3 linked regions of the Arabidopsis thaliana genome follow. The protein of the gene in region 2 purifies or fractionates together with the protein of the main gene of each other region. This does not show direct contact. Each region holds a gene or a part of one and is shown on either strand. Other genes may lie near its edges.

Region 1 (7,494 bases), on a different chromosome or scaffold from region 2:
TGATTAGATTAAATATTCAATGGATCTGCTCTAGAATACATGCAGATGATCTGGTATAAATGAAAAAAACAGACACATACCGGTTCAGAGCGACCTCCTACGGATCTCATGAGTATGTTTGAGGTACCATCATCCAAGAGAATACGAACTTGGACACTAGCCGATGAAGCTGCACTGGCAGCAGCAGCAGCTTGAGCTGCAGCTGCAGCGGCTTCTTTTGCCTTTCTCGATGAACCACCCTTAGGGATTATAGGCATTCTATGAGGTAACACAGATTCTAGAATCGCAAATCTGTCTCGACATGTATCCCACGCCAACAGTCTTGCACTTCCAGAGTCAACAATGGACCAGTCACTAACCTTGTAGATAGAGAAGTATAGAATATCCGGCCATACAACTGCCACATACCTACAATCAGAGAATAAAGTTAGCTGGCTAAAAAAAAAAAAACTCAACAAATTAGCTGAGTTAAGAAGAAAATTATATTCATAAAAAACAATTAGCTAAGGAACTTACTTCCCTGAACTGCTCACAGAAAGAACTGAGTATGAATCATGTGGAACTGGTGCCACGATCTGCTTTTTGGTTTGCTTTACAGTTAACTGTTCACCTGGGTCTCCCTTAGAAAGCCCTGATTCGGACAAGGCACTATTATTGCCAAGGGATGGGTTGGCTGTGTTGGATAGTTGAAAGTTCAAGAGCTTTAATTCTCTTCCAAGGATATATATAGCTGAATTCTCCCGACTTCCAGGCAGTGCTGGTAGAGGAGCTGCAGACGGGATAGCACGAGGATCAAATTCACTAACTATAATACCAACATTGGTACCAGTTGCGACGAGATGTGGTTGTAGAGGATGTGCAACCATACAATAGACCTAAAAAATGGAAATTAATAAGTACCTGATGAGGGTTACTACCAATGTATGGAAGCCATGAAAGCGAAAGAAGTACAGAAGCAATGCTATTATAATTATGCAATAAAGAAACTAGCAATCTTTGAAAATCATCAACTGGCGGTTTCAAGTAGAAAATGAACCCCGAATATTATCTGCAAATTCTGAAAAAGGAATAACTTTCAACTTTCGGGTGCAGCATGTGCTTTCCCTATCACCATCTGACATAAAGATTACGTATCTTCTCCATTGCAATTTTCTTTTAGATAAATTTAGTGTTCAAACAGCTATCAATTTAAAGTCTGCTATATACAAAACTTTTCTGCAAGAAGTAATACAAACAGTTGTATTCTATTCTTATTCTTATTCCTAGTCTACTTGAGTCAGAATACCTTTGCATTGCCAAGTGCAATATTATACAGCTACACAACTTCATCATTTGAACCATAATAGATGCATTTTACGAGATAAGAAGAGAAACTAATGTTTTGTGGGACACATAGAATGGAGCCTCAGAGAGCAATGCTCATGCTCAGGCTTGAGCATGAGCTATTGATATAGTATACAACTAGCAGGCAGAAAGAAATGATATGATACGTGGTAGATTTCGAGGATTTCATCAACAATGAGCTAATTACCCTAAGTTTTCTGTGGGTTGCAAGTACTTGAGGCGGAACCAAGGAAGAAAGTTCACATAACGGCCTTGTCAGGGCCGAATAAGTTGGATGCTCAATAGACCTGCAAAAATTCAAACAATTAGACCACTCATCTAATATACATAAATATATTCTACCATATACAATACCAAATCTTAAACAAAGATACCATATGTGTGAATCTTTAACGCAAGTCAAAATATCAAGGTTTGGCGCTCGAGGGTGACACCAAGATGCAACACTGTGGCAAGCTAGTTTCGGGACAGGTTTAATTCTACGTAGCTCCTGTAGAATAAAAGTAGATATGCATGTTAATAAATGAGATCGGGAAAATATGAAAAATCCATACATGAGATACACCATTACCTTAAATGTCATTGTATCCCATATGGCCAATGTCTTGTCAGCCCCAATTGTAATCAATTGTGGAGCACTCCCACTTACCCTTGACAGCTCAACAGCCACCACCCCACCATCATGTGCCTAATACAATCAGAACAAAAACATTAGAAGAAGCCAAGAAGGGATTAGGAAAAAAAAAAAAAAAAAGTATAACAGAGAAGTGGAAATTATCCACTCAATTAAGCAAACATGACCATGTCTATTACACCAAAAAAAAAAAAAAAGCACGAGCATGTCATAGTCCCCTAATCATTACTCAGCCTTTTATAAAAAGAATGAAAGAATATCTAAATGCAAGTATCCAACATTCAGAAACAGACACAGAAATCAATTCAGAAGGTTCACTGGAACTAAGAACAATGGTGCCTTAGCCTCAGCTGTAACCAAATCTGGCAAATCTTTCCAGGCCTAAGAATTGAACGGTCATGGTAATATCCTCTCTTGAACTTTGAATGAAAGAGTGGGCATAATTGAGTACCTTTAAGCTAAGCTTGGGTACAAGTTCCCTTGAGTCAGCGCCATGATCGGCACTCCACAGTACAAGTAAGCCATCACTGCCACCTGAAACAAGGAGTGCCTGCAATTGCATTTAGATAGAGGATGGCTAGTATCATGTATTGCACATAAATAACAGAGAGAAAATACTTGATAAGCATTCATTAAAAAACGTCAAGTTATATAAAAGGGAAGAAAGCCCAGTACTATCAGAAATTCGCTATTAACATAACCTAAACAAGCAATTGGGAAAAGAGATGCCAATGTTTAAAATTCCCGCCGCTCCTAATGCCTAGGCTATGCATGAAATTTAACCCGAGTACAGATGATCTAAGAAACTAAGGCTAGATATTTGGATTGTAAAACAGGTATCCGTATAGTAAGGCCTGCTGCGGTCTGGACTCCCACTTAGTAGAATGTGAGATTTTTACGTCGCTAAGAAGAAAGAGATATATGTAGGAAACTTCCAAGACGATATGCTCAAGACCTCGTTTTCATATAATATATACAGTCGATCTTAGTAGGTGATCTTGAGTATGTTTTTCTAAGTTACATGACACTTTCATCTATCAGATGGTATTAACTATTAACATATTAAGTAAATAACTCGAAATAAATTCAGAGCAATAAAGAGGGCATATATAGGGAATATGTAGTTACTTCGCCAGATGATGCCATGAAATTCATCAAGCAATAAATGGATCCTTTATGGCCACCTGTATATCGACGTGCAAGCTGCAAGGAAGTAAACATTCAAGGAAATTAACACAGATCAGTATCAAAATCCCTCACTCTAAACCCAGCAGAGAAACCAAAAAAAAAAAATATAATTTTGAAACAAACAAACCTTCCATGTTATCATTGATAAAACCCGAATGACACCATCAGTTGAACCAAATGCAACTAAAGGGCCATCACCACCAGATGATCTCGAAAGAAACTCCATGCTGCAAAGAAAGGAAGAATTCTAGCAACATTAAGGAGGAGTAGAAATTAAAAATGTAGAAAGGGAGTTTGGCCATTGACTGAACATTAAACATCAAGGAAGCCTGGTATCCATTACACTTAGAACACACATATCCATTACACTTATGCCTAGTCTACATTTGACTCAAATATTTCCAGCGTAGTAACTAACGGAGGTCTTTCCAGGATTCAAGTGATTTAAAGATAGGAAGCCTAAAGTAATGGAGCATCTTCCCCGGGGTCCAGGTGTCAAGCAAACCCATATCCTAAAATTAGAGAAAAAGCAATGAACTTACCAGAGAAGTGACTTGTTATCAAGCTCTTGCTTTGGCACATCACGACCACGCATTGTCACCAAATCCAAGAAAATAGCTTTATTCTCACAACAAATGACCAGAAAATGACGGCCTTTAGTCGATGGAGCAGGGGAAGTGAAAGCAGATGTCAGATGATTGACAGCTGATGGAGATTCAGCAGCTGCGGAGCGGTTGCGCCACAGTTGCCAATAACGCACATCATCGTCATAAAACTTCACCTGCTTAACGCTAGTAGGTGCAAACATTGAGCAGATAAGTCATTTTTCTCATTATCGAAAGGAGCAACTGAATTAGCAGCGAGAAAGATCTATCTACTACCTTCCTCCTCGAATGGCTTCAGTAGGCTTAGCTTTATAGTCTGAGGAAAATACGAATGTCAGTAAGAACATAAAGCATCAGAAACTCATACTCATTTCACCAGAATAGAACAATGGCTCACCGGATTCTCCTTCGGCGAGCTTCTCTAACTTGGCACCAACTAAACGGCGCTCGTCAACTCCGCCGGCTTTCAATTCATAAATTACCTAACACAATAGACATAAACGTTGACAGATCCACGATTCGAAATCAGAACCGGAACCAAAATCAAATCAGAATCTCGATACAGACCTGACGATGCTCCCAATTCCAGACGGAGACGTGATCTGAATCATCAGCCGTAACAAGCCATGGATGCGTAGGATGTACCTGTATCTTCACAATCTTACCATTGGTCTGCCGAAATGCTCTCGCCCGCAACATTTCGATCTCTCTCTCTCTCTCTCACAGTTCTTCAAGATCAATTAGACAACTCAAAAATCTGAGCACAACTGCATCCGCATAGACGATTCGACTCACGAGAAACTCTCCAGAGCTACACACTAAAAATTTCCAGAAAAAGCAAGCAGGGCTATGGTCAGATCCAGATCAATTAGATCCACCGCGGTTATCAAATGAAATGCCCGGATCCACCACCACTAACTACAATCGCCGAACAAAAACTCCGGTAGTGTCTTCAGACGCGAAACGCGTAAAGCGCGAATTTGCGAAGGCTAGTCTGATTAACCCAAAAAAAAAGGCCCAATAACAATTGTTTTAGCCCTTTCCTTTGTCGCAAAATATATTCCATTTACGGAAATTAATTGTGGATCCGTTGGATCACTGAACTTTTTTTTTTCTTGTTCATAAGTTTCTTTTTTATTCAAATTATGGGTTTACAAACATCACTAAAGCCCAGTCATCAAAGTATTTCACAAATCCATAAAGGGTACAACTAAACACCTTGTAGTAAAGAGTACAGCGCTAATAAAACAAGTCAAAGCAACATACGACACGTGGATGTGACTTTTCTCTTACGCCGATGATTGTTTCATCGTTATCTCCCAGCACCACCATCAAATCCGATAACCCACCATTTCCTCTACGACAATCTCATCACGCTTGTAAATCTGACTCTCTGCTCCACAATATCCAGAGTTTATATTTGATCTAAATTTCTCCAGAACAGCAACGATCTATGACAAAAGAGAAATAAAAAACCATGATTTCTCTTGATGATTAAATCTTACCAGATATGCCGAATTGAGATTCTAAATCAAAGGATTGAGAGAATCGATTTAGGTTGAAACAAACTCTAATAGTTGATTAAAACCCAAAAGGTAAAGATTAGAAATGAAACAAAGATTGACTTTCATCTAAATAAGGATGCAAAAAAGCTTGAGAAAAGAGGATGATAAGGAAAACCCAAAAAAAAATTGGTACTAAGATCACAATGATTATTGAAAAGCAGAAAGGTAAAACCGGTATCAAAGAACTGGAAACTAAAGCCGGATTCCACTAAAGAGAAAAGTAGAAACCAGACGGCGAGATAAGACGGCAAAGCCGGACCACGTCCGGATACAAAAGCCAGCCACCACCACTAAAGAAGCCAATTGATGCTGGAAACGAACCAACCATCGTCGTTAAAGAAGCCGAACGATGTTGGACGGAGTCTTGCCATGAATCGCTTTTTCTTTCTCTGAAAAATTCAAGTGAGAGAAGAGAGAGAAAATCGAGAAGCCTCCGATCACTAAACTTTTAAAGAGAATTCCAAATGAATTATCTCAAACAAAATGACTATAGTATTTGGTGTAATAAGGGTTTACTATGTTTACAACTAAATCTAGAATTCGATAAAAAGATTTGCAATCAAAATTAAAGTCTTATTTAATCTTCAATTTAATTTAATTTTTTCTTTACAGGTTTCATTGAAGTTTACTCAATACACTTCGATTTTTTGTTTTTCCCGTCTAAACTTGTTTTCCTCATACACTTATAGAAGATCTTAACTTAATAAAGAACAATAAAATCAACGCCGCTTGTCTTCTTCAATGCGAGTGTAACCACATCGGACTTCCACGAGCTAAATATGATCTGCATCGACCTTCTCTCATTACGCTTGTGGCTATATCTCGTGCGATGAAACCTTAAATACGATCTTATCAAAATTCGGGAGAAACCAATGAATCCTATCAAGATAAGATAAATACGTGGCCAATCTAATGGGTCACTAATGGCTTCCATAGGAGCACCATAGTCGGACCAAATCTCAATATTATAGAAGTGTAGATCACATAGACTGTGTAGTACCCATAATATCCCTCTCAACTCCGCAGCAATACGATTTGATGTTGGTAAAAACATTTCTCCCGCATGAAAAACAGCATCACCATGATGATGCCACATATATGAGCATCATGATGATGCCTGACAATCCATGTACAATACACTTCGATTTATTACGCTTTTTTTTTAAAAAAAATTTTATAGCCAAAACATGTCAGACCATATATTCTAAAACTAGTTTCATAAAGCCACTTTTGTACACAAAGAAAATTAAAGAATTACTGTATTCTTATGTACGCAAGTCTCCGGTTTAAGTGATGTTACTTCGACTTAAAACAAATCGACTGTGCCAGCTCCGGCTTTTCCCAGTTTCAATAGTCGATAACAACACACTCAACAAGTCCTCTGCTTCTTCCTCCGATGGAAACTCTAAGTTAGTCTGAAGAAGCGGCTGTGCTGAAGGATTGTTCCATCGTTTTTTGGTCGGGCTGCTCTTCTTTTGCTGGTCCTGTCTCCAGTTCCATACACCATCTGAATTGCTTCCTATGATGCGGACTACTCCACCGCTGCAATCTGTATGTATTACACTCTCCAAACCGATTTCTCTTTCGATATTCCATACCAAATCTATTGGAACTCCGAGAAATCCCTGTTTTCTGAAATCTACCAAGCTCAGGCTGCTTAGAACCAATACCAGTCTCCCTGTGATTACAACGAAAGCTCCTTCTTGTTTCAGGGCTTTGCACTTCACCAGCTTCTCGCCCTTGAACTTCAGGGAATCTCCAACCTCCATAAGTACTGCTGTCCCGACCGCTTCTTCCCATGAGTAAGGCCTGAGAGGTTGTTCTCTACTCAGAGGCCTCGGAAGACGAAGCCTATGCCTTTGGGATCTTATGTTATGAATCCTGCTTCGGTTTCTTATACTCTGTGCGGTTTTTCCAGTTACCTCAAGGATACTAGCGGTTGGTCTGGCCACAAGTCCAGTAATCCCCATGGCCACTCCTGAACCATATATAGGCACCCAGTTAACATGCATAAAATTAGAAAGCCAGAAACAAAAGGACAGCGTGTACACGAACATCAAATGTCTTGAATGTCTATAGATGACTTGAGCGGTGGTTCTCGCTTAAATACCTGAGATAACGCCTGGAAGACCATGTTTCTCAGCTCCTCTTATTGGTG
Region 2 (7,183 bases):
ACCAACATGACGAGTCAATTTTCTGAACATGATCGTTTTAATTTCAAAGAGAACCGGCCAGATGTAAACCACATTAAAGGGTAAGGAATAAAACGACTGCATTTACTGAGCTGGTCATAGAATCAAATACTAGATATCAAAAGTTTATTTGGTTGGAAAATTTCCCACCAAACTACTAATAAACAGTACGAAGTTATAATAGATGTTGCATACCTGAAGAGCTATTTCATGTTTCTTCAACTTGATTGACTTTCGTCCCTCACCTTGTGTTGAAATATAATGACCATCTGAAGCTGAGAGACGGTAGCCTTGAAACAACTTTGCCAGCCCAATTTGGGTTCCATTACAAGCAAACATCAGAGTGGACTCTGTAATTTAAAGAGGCATCAGTTAGCGATGGCATGCTCCAATTGATAAGTAACTTCAAGAATGAGATTATCTGTAACTTCAAGAATGAGATTATCTGATGCAACATCACCTATCGGTGTGGAAAAAACACGATCGACTTCTGTCTCAAACATGAATTGTTGTGGACCCTGAATTCCAGAAGGATCCGCCTCTTTCTTTTGGTTTTCTTCAGATAACAAATTCTTCTCATTCTCTTCCATTGTGGTAAGTTTTGGGAGGATATACATAGACAGTCCTGTCTTATCCTCGTCAAGAATTGCAAATTGATCGTCATTTGGGCCGATAAAGGCAGCATCACAACCTGCATACCAAAAAAGTATAGCTTTGAGGTTACTCTTCTCTTGTTCGTTTACGCCTTTGGAAACATAGGAAAACAAAAAGGATGAACGGCTTAAATAATTCTAAGCTTGCATCTCTATCAAGTAAACAGATCATTCGTTGAAACGTTCAGCTTCCTTGATTGTTAGTAACTACTGTTTTATAGCATACATTGTACCCCTGGTATATTTAAATGACTGGATGCAGTATGATACCGTTTAATGTTTTCAAAACTAAAAGTTATGAGGCAGGATAGGAAGTTCTCTAAAGAATAGCAAGGGAATCCAATGATTAGACAAACCTTTAGCAGTGCTTCCTTTGCTATTAGGCAGCTGGGAACCTGTATTTTCCCAGTAAAGCACAACTTCATTTGTAGCACCACTGAACTCAAAGACAACCAGAAAGAGGTGCCTTTTACGACTGTAAACAATGTGTTTCGAATGATATTCAACATTTCCGGGGATCTGAAACAGAAAAGTTCTGTAAGTAAAAGGAAACCAAAAACTAAAACGAAATCACATGATATCAGATTATACCGATGTGTACAGCTTCTTGTAGATGTTGTCTGTTCCAGAACAGAGATTGTGAGCCATGAGGTTAAGGCCCTCGATATAAAAGGACCTCACAGGATAATGAAGAACTCTATTTGGCTTATTGAAGAAATTCAGCTCCAAATGAAATGGCTGTCAGATAATCCAATCAGTCAGGCATAAATCAGATACTACAGAAAAGAAACACTAAACAACAGTTACATGCCTGGCAAACAGGAATGTCTTTAAGTTGATCCTTTGTATCCACGACCGTAATAAGGGGTAACCTTGATATTGGAGCAGTTTTGGCATGACCCTCCATAAAATGCTGTACGGATTAATTCATCGACTAAGCTCAAAATAGTTCCAAATAATAAAACAAACATAATGTCTAAGCAAGAAGGTAAAGCAGTCATACACTATACAAGAACGCCTTCCGTGCGATATCTGAAATTGTTAGCTGACTCTGGCTGTAGAAAAGTAACAGAGTGAACTATGAAGCAGATGAAATTTGAGTCATTTGGTACGGAATTCACAGCACATGCTAGTAACTTTTTTTTGCGCAATTTTCCAACAGTGATTGCATGAGAAATATCCACCTACCCCTTGTGCTCCTGTAGCAGAGCTTGAAGTTGATGCTCGGCTAAAATTCCAGAGGAACCCATAGACGAAAGCTTTTCCTTTAGAACAGAAGCTGTTAATCATCTCACATGTTAGAAAGCCGGATATTGATACGAACGACTCTGGTCGAACCCACAACCCATACTATTAACAGAGGATTGGTTACTCTCAAGAGACACATCCATACAGCTTAAGAAGAGTATCAATTGTTATGTTTGAATAACATTAGTGTTCAAGATTCACCTGAAGATCCCCTAGCACTTTGCAAAACTGCAAAGAGCTGCTTCCTTCCTTCTCTAGTCTGAGCTGCTCGATTTTGAGTGTTCTCATTACCCACCATGTTCTGTATAAGAAACCCAGTATGTCAAAGACAGAAGCCACACTTCTACCTAAGGAAGGAGTGCCAGTAGGAAGTATTCTTAACTGCAAAAATCAAAGCTGCTAAGTTCAGCTTTGGGTGAACTTCTAAAGTTTTGATTCGTGGTAAAGGGTAAACAGCTTCGCCACCCTGTTGGGAGAGAATTTTAGGAATGTCTATTGATTCCATAGCTGCAAAGAAAAAAAAAAAAGGATAGTGCTACAATGCGTAATCAAAGTCTCCAAACCAAACCATGGGAATTATTCCTAAGTCGGGGAGGAAAATATATTTTCTCTATAAGAGATATCAGGCTTACCAGCAGGCTCAAAGAAGTTTGTTTGTGTCGAAGGCCTATTGGGATTAATTATTACTCGTGTCTTCCACACTTGAAGAGATCCATCCTTGGACACAGTGACAAGTACACGCAACATAGGAAGCCAAGAAATTGAAGTGATGGGTTGCGAACCCACTTGCGTTCTGCAGTTCCAAAATATAACAAACAAGAATGAATTGCTGCGAGAAAAAAAAGGGATAGCAATTTCATGCCAGCTGACAGAAATCTAAAAGCAACGAAAATGACTTACATTCCAATCATATTAGGTCTTTCAGTTGAAACATCCCACGCTAAAAGTGTACCCCTCCTATCTCCAACAAAAATCCATTCTAGTGTTGGGTGAAAAGCAAACGAACTTGCGCCGATAAGTTTAATAGTATTATCAACTGCGAGGATAACAAAGAACTGCTTTAACTGGTGGCTATTGCTCAGGATACCCCAAGTGAGAAGAATAAAAACAATGAGACTTGTGAGATCCTCCTAAACTCACGCTGTAGTGTATAATGAACAGCATAAGTATGAATGTTATAAGCTCGTATCAACCCCTCTGCATATGCTACATACTGAAAAGACAAAACATTGAACAAGAAGTTACGCGTGTGTACAACAAAATCAGATTCCACACACTAACATGAAAATGTGTGAATGTTTTATCATACCAGGACAGGTAGTCGAGGATGGCAAGCAATGTTCACAATTGGTTTCTTCAAATCTGTCTTAATTTTGGTTGGAGCTCTTCCACCTTCAACAGTTCCAACAACTACAGAAAAGAACAAATACAGTCAATCGGTAAAATAAACCAGCACACCTACTCATATAGGAGAACTCATGAACTGATAACCCAACCTGTGACACTCATTCGTTTTGGGAATCCAAAGAACACAACAGGTTGAAGTGGCGTCACAGCAAGATGAACTTCAGTATCTGAGGAAATGTGCTCACTCCTCTTCTCCGGTGAGTGCAATACACAAGTCTGCTCCGTTTCAAAATCACAAGACCTAATTGTACAATCCTAAACAATTCCAAACACAAATCATTCTAAAACACTGAACACCAAGCTAAAACTACTATTCCAAATTGAAAACAAAATCTCTACAATAACATTAGAGGAAACTGACCTCAAGAATGGCAACAACAGCATTGCTGCTAGTAGGACTATACAACATTCTAACAGCTGGAGATCCAATATCAATAGACGCGATCTTACATCCCGTTAATGCATCAAATTCTGCAAAAACCAATAAGTTTCAATATCAAACAGTCACAAACTATGAAACCAATCGATAAGAATTTGCGGAGAGTATTATACCCATGATGTGAGAGCCAACGGCAACAGCGATAACGGCTTGAGAAGGATGAAACGCCGCCGTATGAGGTTGTAGTGGCTTGCTCACACCGCGACCTACATGACGCAGATCCAGATGCTGCACCGTTGCCCACTCCATAACTTCTGAAAGACAAAATACGGCTGATCATTGTCACAATTTCGATTCAGATCGATCAAGAGAACGAGAGAAGCTGATAATAAGATTACTGATCTGATCTTCGAAAGAAAATAAAATTTCAAAAAAAAATGGAAAATTCGTTGATAGCTTTGTAGTGTTCATTTTTGGTTTTACCTGCTCTTAGATCCGTGTGAGATTACTAGTTCATCAATTTGCTTCAAATCCAATGCAGAGAATACGAAGGTACACGAAGGTTTTTGGGAAACAGAGTGAGATCGAACGGGAAGATCAGAAAAATCAATAGAGGAAGAAGAAGAACATCGAACCAAAAATGTCAAATATTTGGGTCGGGTTGTCCGGATCTCTCTTCTCCGGGTCGGATCTTTCGGGTGTTACTTTATGCTCCATTGCCTCACTGTCTAATTCTGAAACTACGCCGTTATTATGGGCCTAAATGGGTTTAATAGGTTGTCGTTTAATGGGCCTAAATGGGCTTTAATAGGTCTTTTCAAAGATCTACACAAATCTGCATCTAATAATTTCTTTTTGTTAATCTGCATTTAATATTTTTTATTTTTTTAAGTCTTATAATTGCAATATACATATTTTCGTTATGTTTTTTTTTTCTCGTTAAGAATATTCATTTTCGAGTTTCCAAGAAATAATATTTACAACAGTTTAAGTTTTAAGAGATAATAGTTGCGAGATATGGAATTTTATCATATTTATTCGTTTGTTAAAAAGATCTTTATTATATTTTTAACCAACAAAAAACAGAAGTTAAATCCTTCTATATATAAAAAACCGAATTAGTCTCAAAAACAACAATGGATCATCACCACGACTGCAACACTATCTAACTACGATAAGTGGATGGACGCGAAGTTTCAAGTCACCAAAGTTTTGTTTTCAAACATCGTGAGCAGAATACTTGTGCAGATGCTCTACGCCAAAAATTCAATTCGATGTAACATCCCGTGCAGTGGCGGAGCTAGAAAATTTTGTTATAAGGATCAGAATTTTAATAAAAATAGTATATTATATAAAATTTATTATTATTTTGTTTAGAAATAATCTACACCTGAGAAAAATATCTGAAAATCAACTAAATTAATAATTACAACTTTTTGTTATGGTCCACAAAGACTAAGAAAAGCAAAAACAAATTGTGTTTTTTTTATATATATAATTATAACATTAGATCATTAGTTGAACTTAAGTTTAAATAAGTCAAGGATTTTTAATTTTATTACATTACAATTTGGTTTAAAATTCTAATGAACCAAACTTATTTGGCTTTTTTGTCGTTTTAGTTGAATTAGTTTGATATGGGGATCAAAAACTATAATGCATTGGGGTCATTATAATTACTCTTAATAAAATATAGTAGAAATTTTAAAATTCATAGGGGTCAATTGACCCCCTAATTACACACTGCCTACGCCCATGACCCCGTGGTGTTTATACATTTTTGTCCATACTTTTTAATCCCATTTGTAAACAAGGATATGTTTTGAGTTTTGAAAGAAAGTTGTTAGATAAAAAAAATAAAAAAATATATTCTTTTCGAGTTTCCAAGAGATAATATTTACAACAGTTTAAATTTTAAAAAATAATAGTTACGAGATATGGATTTTTTCATATTTTTTTGGTTGTTAAAAAGATCTTTGATATATTTGTAACCAACCAAAAAAAAGAAGTTAAATCCTTCTATATATAAAGAACGAGTTAGTCCATTTCTTTGTATACACTCACAAATCTTCCCTTTAAGAATGAAAACCTCCATCGTGCTTGTAGCGGCAGCTTTTCTTTGTCTTGTGGCTTTTCCGACCACAACCGTCGGAAAATACTGGCCAAAAATCGAAGGATGGCCAAACCCGTCTGAAATCACTAGAAACGAACTGATGCTTTTGAACACTGGCCATAGTTTCGGCTATGGAGATTCCAAAGTCTGGAAATGTACTTATAGCAACGGATCTGCTCCTGCCATTTCTATTTCTCCATCAACGCCGATTCCGTCAACTCCATCAACACCGTCTCCTCCTCCTCCAGCTCCTAAAAAGTCTCCCCCACCGCCAACGCCAAAGAAGTCTCCATCTCCGCCTTCATTAACACCGTTTGTTCCCCATCCAACGCCCAAGAAGTCTCCATCTCCGCCTCCAACACCGTCTCTTCCACCTCCAGCGCCCAAGAAGTCTCCTTCAACACCGTCTCTTCCACCTCCAACACCCAAGAAGTCTCCACCTCCGCCACCAAGTCATCACTCATCATCTCCATCAAATCCACCTCATCATCAACAGAATCCATGGGAACACATCGAGAGATGTATGATAAACATGGGACCTGTTGGGATGTGTCGGATGCAGATGGAAGTCAGTTTCTACACGAGGTTGTTTCAAGTTAGTGACTATTGTTGCAACCTTGTTGTCAACATGAAAAGTGAATGTGACGACGTCGCTTGGGGATTCTTCAACGACCCTTTCTTTGTTCCTCTTGTTCGTTACACTTGCCATGTCACCTGCTAGTTTCTCTTCTTCTTTGTTTGTTCTTGATTAATTAGGGTTTTTTTCTTTGATTATTTGTTTTTCGTTTTGGTTCGTTTAGTCATGCGATATTTGTTGCCGTTCATATCTGATGAACGGATCTTTTGTTAAGGTTTAATCAATGAATAATTATCTCTTCATTCTCTTTGTTGCTTGTTTTATGTTCGCAAATGAATAAAGAAAATATCAAATACCAAAAGTTAAATCGCATTATTTGCAAAAGATATTGTGTTTGGACTTGAAAAGATCGTTAGGGAAGTATATATCATGTCTATTTCGATGCAATCATTCTTTTTGTTACATCGTTTTTTAATTTATAATATTTGAAAATTCTACATTCAGAAATGTGTGATCTCTAATTAACAAGAAGAAACATATAACGATTTGAATGTTTCTTTTCCTTTTTCTTCGTGATTTTTTAGTTAGTTACTATATAATTTATTTGAAATTTTTCTTATTACATTGCAAAAATCACCTCTTTTGTTTCCTTTTTAATTTTTTTGAGCTATGAAATGTAACAGTAAATGGGATGAAGAATTATATCCCATCTAATTAACATTCAATTTATGTGACCTCGTATAAAGAATTAGATTTTTGGACTTGAAAAGATAGTTAGGAAAGCAAAC
Region 3 (7,194 bases), on a different chromosome or scaffold from region 2:
GATGTTCTCCGAATTCCTGCAAAAGTCGAACATATACAAAGTAGGAACATGTTAGAACATATATAGAATTCCTGCTAAAAATAAGGGTAAACAAGTAACCAAAGAGTGGGAAAGAAGGTAAAAAGTGATTTGGAACATGTTAAAACTCGAAAGATATAAGGATACCCTACATATTTAGATAATTCGGTAAAGAAAATCAAAGCAATAGGACAGAAAAACATGTTCCTTTGTTTACGTCTGAAGAGAAGACTGATATTATACTATTTTTGTAAGGACATCAGAGCATTGAGTTTACTCACATTTGTAGTTTTGTAACGATTCTAGCATATTGATGCGCCATCAGAGCATAGATGCAATGACTTAACTCACATTTGTAGTTGGTGACCTTTCAACGTATAATAAATAATAATACAACAAAATTGAACAAAACTCTTATAGACCAAAAGCTTGCATACAATTTTATGCTCCATACGAAATTAGAAATATATTTGTGCATCTGTCAGACATCTAACAAAATAAAAAAAAAAGATTGTAATTCATATTAAGAGGATACTGACAATGTACCTTCTGGATGAGAACTTTCATTGGTCTCAGCATCATCTAGAGCATCAGAAAATGCATTTACATGAACGGATTCATCAATGTCCTGTAATCCCATAGCAAACGCTGCTGCTCTACTCTTTCCCATCTCTTGCACAACCCTTGCTGCTGCATGAAGTACTGGTCTTGAGAAACTGCGAAATGAGCTCTCTAACCTGAAAGAACAGGATCAATTTGCGAAAGTTCTTTAACAAGAAACACAACCATAACGATCATTACAATCCAAAGCAACATTCTAGTGAGGAAAGGGAATCCATAAGATCTGCAATTCTAAACACAGTCTTCCACCAAGCTAGGAGTACCTCCTCATTACAAGCTTAATAAGGGGCTGTGGACGCTTGGTTTTATTAGATTTATCCTTGGAGGACAAGGATGGTGCTTCTGGCAGCTTCAGGATCTCTCTCGTCAAGCGATACCACCCAGCAGCACGCTCATCCATCCTAAATGATGCAGTACATTTTGGTTATTCAATACCTTACAAAGAATGAACTAAGAGAAATCAAAGTCATAGAACTCATGCCTCTCAGTGTTATCGTGTTTTCCCAGAATGCACAAAATCGCCTCATAGCATACCCTTTCGCTTGGATCTAGGAGTAGCTGATAGAGAATTGAGTTGAACTGAGACCTAATATCAGGCCTCTCTGTAGGAAGATTGAAAGGAAACTAGCAACATGTAAGTTCTCAAAAGATCTCTCCCATATAGCCAGATAAGAAGAAAAAAAAACAGAGCGAGAACGGGCAGCAGAAAGAGGTTGATAGTACTTACCATCTAATGCCCGAGCTCTAGATATTGAGTGGCACAACCTAGCCAGAGAAACTCTAGCAAGAACATCATTCATATGCAGGATATCTTGCAAAGCCCCTAATTTGGTGTACAGAAGAAAGGTATATCAGCTAACCCAGATCGTGTTCCAAACACTTCTTTATAATTAGCACAAATAAACACGAAATAACCAGCAAAAAGATTAACGTCAAGAGATAAAAGGCCTGGTGAGCATACCTGTTGGAGACGCAAGCTTTTCTGCAGCAAAAAGATCAAGAGACACATATCAAGTTTTGAATGAAAAACAGTTATGTCTCTACACACAGAAATAGAATGAAAAAAACAATATAAGGGGGAATAGAACAAATTATTTACCTAATGTCATTGCTACTGTATAGGGGTCTCTTGTGGCTAACTCAGATAGAATTTCCAGTGAATGCCTCACCGCAACAGGATCAGCAAAGAAAACACTGCAACATAAAAGTGTGAATACGAGAATAACTGTCCAATATACTGCATAATTAGGAATAGACCAAAAATTCAATTGCTCTTGTGAAACCTACATCACTATACTTAAATCCAATACTCTATACTTAAAAAGATAGTAGAAAGAACCAAAAAAAAAGTCTTACCCCTGAGCTGCACGGTGCAGAAAAAGTGGATTTCCTGGATCAAGAGGGAGTCTTCTCAGTGCACTCATAGCAGCGTATTGCAAGTTACTTCGCATAATCGACTAACAAAAACGAGATAAAACGCTCAAGTTAATAACAAAGTTTAGTGTTGACCTTCTGCAATCCAGAAGCTGTATACTCAAGTGAGGAAGAATTCTATTCGTCTGCCTACATATCTAGAAGCTAAGTTATCAAAGTTGTTCCTTTGGCTTATTGATAATCTGATATACGAATAGAATTGTAATGTTTTAAAAAAATGGTTTTATTAATTCAAATAACATTTAACTCGGGCCTTAAAAATCTGATAGCTAATAGCCAGAGTCTCCAGATGTGCAAACTCATATCATTATAGAGCAACTATGATACACTGCCTAATGCATGCAGTCATCAACAAGAATTTTGAGAAATTTCTACCCTACAGCAGGCAAAGAACATGCAGAGCATTGTAAAAAAGAAAATTATAAAGTGCAGGAACATGACTAGTATATAAGCCTTAAGTCTTTTCCTGGAGGAACCTAAGAGTTTAGAAAGATACCTCTTTATCACCCCCTTTTGTCCCAAATACACCTTTCTTTCGTTTATGCGGAACATCACCAACCTGAAAGCGACAAGAAAGATAAATCAGGGCCTCTGCATGTCACTGGGAAAACCCCCGTAAATTAAACCACACTCATATGAAAAGCAATAAGAATAAAATAGTATAATTGTATATAAATAAGAAAAGGTGGGACTACGGTTAAATCACGCAGAGTGCAGACAATGAACTACGCCAGGGTTTATTAAAAATAAACAAAGCATCTTGTTAAAAATCATAGAGCATTGGCAGTCAGACAAACCTTTTCAAGAATGCCAAATACAATCTCATACAATTTTGACAAAAGCTCAGAATTGCCTGATGGTGAATATGTCAGAGCTTTCAAAGCTTGCAGTCGTCGAGCATGAACTGAAGAAAAACATATGATAAGGTTAGAAATTCATCTCCAGTCACATTACAGATGGAAAGTTGGAAATCTATCTTAGATGTTGGTTCTCACTTCCATAACCCCCAAATTATTTAAATCCATACCAAAACTGACACCACATCTAAACATAACTACCTTTTGACGTCACTCCTCTCAGCATTTGGGTCTATCAAAAGAAAATTATAAAGGTACTGGGATATTTCTTAAAAAACATTAACAACTAATACCATTATAAAGATAAATAAGATTAAGACAGTCCAAGGCAGAAATGTATAAAATAAAACACTAAAGCCTGAAAAATGCGAGTGAAACTCACATTCAAATTCAGAATTTGTAGCTTCGTTTGTAAGTTGATTCACTATCCGAGGAACAACATCAGCTCTTGTGACTCCTCCACCAGCATCAATATCTGCTAGAGCATCCCAGTTAGGAGTGGGGATACCACCCCCTGGAGTCATGCCCGTATCGGACAAAATTCTAGCTAGGTAATAATAAACATATCGTAGCACATTCCTGTCTTCACATTGCTGATTAAGCTGTATCAATCACAAGAGAAAAAGAATGCTAAAAACCTGATGCCTCTCTTTGACGGATATTGTTTTTGAAAATGCGAATTTGTGAAGATCCATGATAATTTAATGGGTAGAGAAAAAAAAAACTCTAATAGAACAAATCATTTTAGATGCTCCATCATAAAGTTATAAAAAACGATACAAGAAACTGTACTTGATCTGACACTATCTGGTCGTCAAATGAGTAACCAGTGACACATACCATAAGAAGAGATGGGGCCAGAGAAGGATCAACTGAGTTGTACACAGCAAGCTTAGGGAACACGTGATTCACTAGTTGTTTCTGAGAACTTTTCTGCTCACTCGCGAAAAACAGAAGAAACAGTCAGATACTATTTTCAGCAGAAGAAGAGAGGTATAAAGGCAGAGCATAAGAACACAAACTTAAACCTGATCCAAAGTGGCAGCTAATTCATGAATGCTCCTTGCAAGTTGCGAATAGGAAACCGGCTGGGAAGTCATTTGCAACATAAAGTCGTGTTAACTACATCGAAGAACAAGACATAGGTATATTGACTCACTAAGACTCTATTTACAACAGAGACTCTATATACACTGATACCTCCTATTAACAATTCAAATCTACAACCACAATCTAGTTTTCTTAGCTCCAATGATCCAGGGTTTAGTTCAAACACAGATAAATGTGCCAAACAAAATTCAATTAGTAGATCGAACCTTCTTTTTCTGTCTCTGCCTTTGTGGCATGATATTGGCCTTAACAGGATTCAGTGCAGCTTTAGCAACAGATATAGTGTCGTTTTGGATCTGCATCAAAGTGGCTCTCTTCGATTTCTTCTCTCCTAGAGTCGTCTTCGTCGACATTGGATGGTGCAGATGGGAAGAAGACGATGCGGAAGCAGAAGTCGGCTGAGACGCCGTGGAAGATGCGGACGAAGAAGTAGATTGTGCAGGAACCGGGGTTGGATCCGCCGAGATCAGATCCATTAGCGTGGTACCAGACGATTCCTGTAAAGAGGAAAATGGAAGAAAGGTAAACTTGGATTCGATTCTTGGCCGGTGAAATACGGTGAGGATCCGACGATGCTTACCGCCATAGCTAGTGGCAGATCGGAGGAGGATTCTCGGAGAGGATTTTAGTGACGGGCGATTCAACAAGACAAACGCAACTTTACAATTTTACAAAATTATCAAAATTCTACACTTTTGTTAAATTATCACGAAGCACGTGAGATGCACGTGAATCTTTTATTTGTCATCCAAAGTTTTGTTTTGGTATTTTTTGGAAAAATGTCAAAAATAAAGGTAAATTTTCAAATTTGGGACGAAAAATTAAGATGTAAACCTCAACGATTAAAAAGAATTCATCATCTTTGCATTTTTTGATCAAGTTTTCTCTTGGAAAAAACTTTTGAAATTGGTTAGGGAAAGATTGATCATGTTCTGAAAATTGTGCTGAAATTAAGGTTTCTTGTTCTAGAGATATTCTTCTACTTAATTGAGTTCGTGTTGTGTAGGATGCGATGAGTTGACGACGGCAAGATACTCGCCTATTTGGTGACTGTGACAAAGGGATCGAAACCTAACTTTTATTAATTTGGGCATTTTGTTATAACCTATATAAATATGTATGTTTCTGAGAAACAAACAAATAAATGATTCAGCTTAGTCGGTAAAGGAATGGAAAAAATGTCAAAAAAATCCCCAACTTTCAAATTTGGGACGATTTAATCTTGAACTTCACAGAAGACAAATAAATCGTAAAGTTTGTGTTGACATTCTAAATAAATGACAAAGTTTTTGTTGACTTCCCATTTGAGTCATGTCGTTACATAGGTTAACAGAATTTTTTTACGACGTTCATGTTCCGTTTATCTGCTCTGTTAGGACAAAACAATGTCGTTTATTGTAGAGACAAACAACATCGTTTCTTCTGTTGAAACAAATTTAAACCCTAAATCCCCAAATCGATTTCATTATCTCAAATCCTATAGAGGCCGAATCGATTCGAATCCCATCTGGTGAGGAGACGAACAATGTTCCTCAGCCCAAATCAAATCGAAAGAAGAGAAAACGGAAGAAGGAAGTTGAAGTAGACGACGTCGTTTTGTTAACCTACTTAACGACATGACTGAAATGGCAAGTCAACAATAACTTTGTTATTAATTTCGAAAATCAACAAAAACTTTACGATTTATTTGTCTTTCGTGAAGTTCAAGATTAAATCGTCCCAAATTTGAAAGTTGGTGATTTTTTCGACGTTTTTCCCATAAAGGAATGTTGTTTTATCTTAAAGGTTGCGAGTTCAATTCCTGAACTTGTAATAAAAAATTAGATTCAAAACAACGTTGTTTCATAAGTTAACGGAATTTATAACAGAAGACTTAACTCTGTTAATTTTTCCGTCAATTGACTTAACATCGTGCCCAAATTGGCAAAATCGATAAAAGTTATCTAATTAATTCTAAAGTCAACAATAACTTTGGTATTTAATTGATATTTCGAAAATTCATGCTTTTTTGTCCCAAATTTGAAAGTTCGCGATTTTTTTGACATTTTTCCCCTTTTTATCCTTCCTATTATGATTGAATGGATTGTAGGACCGCGAAATCCTGATTTGCAATAAATCAAAAATCTTTATAAAACGATTAGGAAAGACGTTTTTCGAAAACGAGTGAAGACGAGATTTGATCTCTTTCCATAATTCAAACTAGCTCCCGCAGTGTGACGGTTTTATGAGCAGTGGATCGCAGAATACAATCACTATAAAACCGGTATCGCAGCACTCGATAGCGGAATCTGCGAACATGAAATAAACGATATACTCTTGACTTACTTTGAGAAGAAAGGGAGAAAGGGAGAGAGTTTCGTTTTAGCTTTTAGCAAAAAAAACGAGTGAGTACAATGAGAGGAAGATGTGTTCCTTTTATAGGAGAGAGGTGAGGAAATGCAATCCGCAAATCAAAGATCGTGGGATTCGGAGTGATGCGCAAGTCAAAGACGTGGGCATGATTAGCGGAGCCATTATCACAACCGTTTAAGGAATTAAGATTCGAATAAGGAATATTCGGATATGCTTTTAATATTCCGAATATACCTTAGTTATGGAAACGATATGGGCTTTCGTTTTGGGCCAAAAACTATGTTGCAAATATTACAAATAATGCAACAAAGCCTCATAAGTATTTTCCCCAAAAAGAACATTGTTTGTGGGCCAAAGGCCCCATTTCCCAAGAGCCCAAGGCCCAAGCCCGGCTCGGCACGGCACGACGGCGGCGGAGCGTGTGTGTGTGTTGTTTTGCATAAAGGACTTGCATCTCCTACACCATAGTGTCCCTTCCCAATAGCTAGTGAACCATGTTAAATGGGTAGCACCATATATGCTAGAGGAGAGATCTTAAAACTTCTAATATGGGACAATTGTCAATATTTGTTATTATAAGCTTTCAAGCTCACCACTTTGGACCTCAATTACTCATTCATAATAACTTCAATTTTTATATGTAACTACACTATCTTATAGTGCTCATTACAAGGAATTCAAAGACTCCATAATCCGGTCATTCCGGTGATGGCCATCACCGGAAAAATCACCGAAGAGTTAGCCGGAGCCACTTGTGTAAAATTGAGTTCCAACAATCCCCCACATGAATAAAATTGACTCT

Evidence for each region. The genes of interacting proteins can lie anywhere in the genome.
Region 1: the proteins of AT3G50590 (region 2) and AT5G24710 fractionate together in Arabidopsis thaliana (co-fractionation; one large-scale study listed by BioGRID). This does not show direct contact.
Region 3: the proteins of AT3G50590 (region 2) and AT2G07360 fractionate together in Arabidopsis thaliana (co-fractionation; one large-scale study listed by BioGRID). This does not show direct contact.

The regions. Positions count from the first base shown.
Region 1 is NC_003076.8:8,463,451-8,470,944, forward strand, and holds the start of AT5G24710 (Transducin/WD40 repeat-like superfamily protein), read right to left. Parts: upstream 4,724-7,494; 5' UTR 4,471-4,723; coding exon 4,339-4,470; intron 4,254-4,338; coding exon 4,169-4,253; intron 4,088-4,168; coding exon 4,048-4,087; intron 3,958-4,047; coding exon 3,709-3,957; intron 3,394-3,708; coding exon 3,294-3,393; intron 3,182-3,293; coding exon 3,107-3,181; intron 2,529-3,106; coding exon 2,430-2,528; intron 2,033-2,429; coding exon 1,916-2,032; intron 1,835-1,915; coding exon 1,719-1,834; intron 1,632-1,718; coding exon 1,532-1,631; intron 876-1,531; coding exon 517-875; intron 409-516; coding exon 81-408; intron 1-80. Other genes in the region: AT5G24740 (vacuolar protein sorting-associated protein, putative (DUF1162)), read right to left, coding at 6,623-7,314, 7,447-7,494.
Region 2 is NC_003074.8:18,768,123-18,775,305, reverse strand, and holds the start of AT3G50590 (Transducin/WD40 repeat-like superfamily protein), read right to left. Parts: upstream 4,288-7,183; 5' UTR 4,189-4,287; intron 4,020-4,188; 5' UTR 4,015-4,019; coding exon 3,879-4,014; intron 3,798-3,878; coding exon 3,688-3,797; intron 3,582-3,687; coding exon 3,416-3,581; intron 3,330-3,415; coding exon 3,229-3,329; intron 3,133-3,228; coding exon 3,060-3,132; intron 2,956-3,059; coding exon 2,820-2,955; intron 2,713-2,819; coding exon 2,552-2,712; intron 2,427-2,551; coding exon 2,302-2,426; intron 2,221-2,301; coding exon 2,121-2,220; intron 1,951-2,120; coding exon 1,860-1,950; intron 1,727-1,859; coding exon 1,675-1,726; intron 1,585-1,674; coding exon 1,483-1,584; intron 1,410-1,482; coding exon 1,263-1,409; intron 1,191-1,262; coding exon 1,028-1,190; intron 710-1,027; coding exon 479-709; intron 369-478; coding exon 214-368; intron 97-213; coding exon 7-96; intron 1-6. Other genes in the region: AT3G50580 (uncharacterized protein), read left to right, coding at 5,787-6,539.
Region 3 is NC_003071.7:3,052,474-3,059,667, forward strand, and holds the start of AT2G07360 (SH3 domain-containing protein), read right to left. Parts: upstream 4,724-7,194; 5' UTR 4,627-4,723; coding exon 4,621-4,626; intron 4,538-4,620; coding exon 4,247-4,537; intron 4,019-4,246; coding exon 3,959-4,018; intron 3,864-3,958; coding exon 3,771-3,863; intron 3,533-3,770; coding exon 3,313-3,532; intron 2,978-3,312; coding exon 2,871-2,977; intron 2,633-2,870; coding exon 2,570-2,632; intron 2,097-2,569; coding exon 1,996-2,096; intron 1,834-1,995; coding exon 1,739-1,833; intron 1,622-1,738; coding exon 1,601-1,621; intron 1,463-1,600; coding exon 1,367-1,462; intron 1,242-1,366; coding exon 1,115-1,241; intron 1,041-1,114; coding exon 903-1,040; intron 756-902; coding exon 565-755; intron 17-564; coding exon 1-16.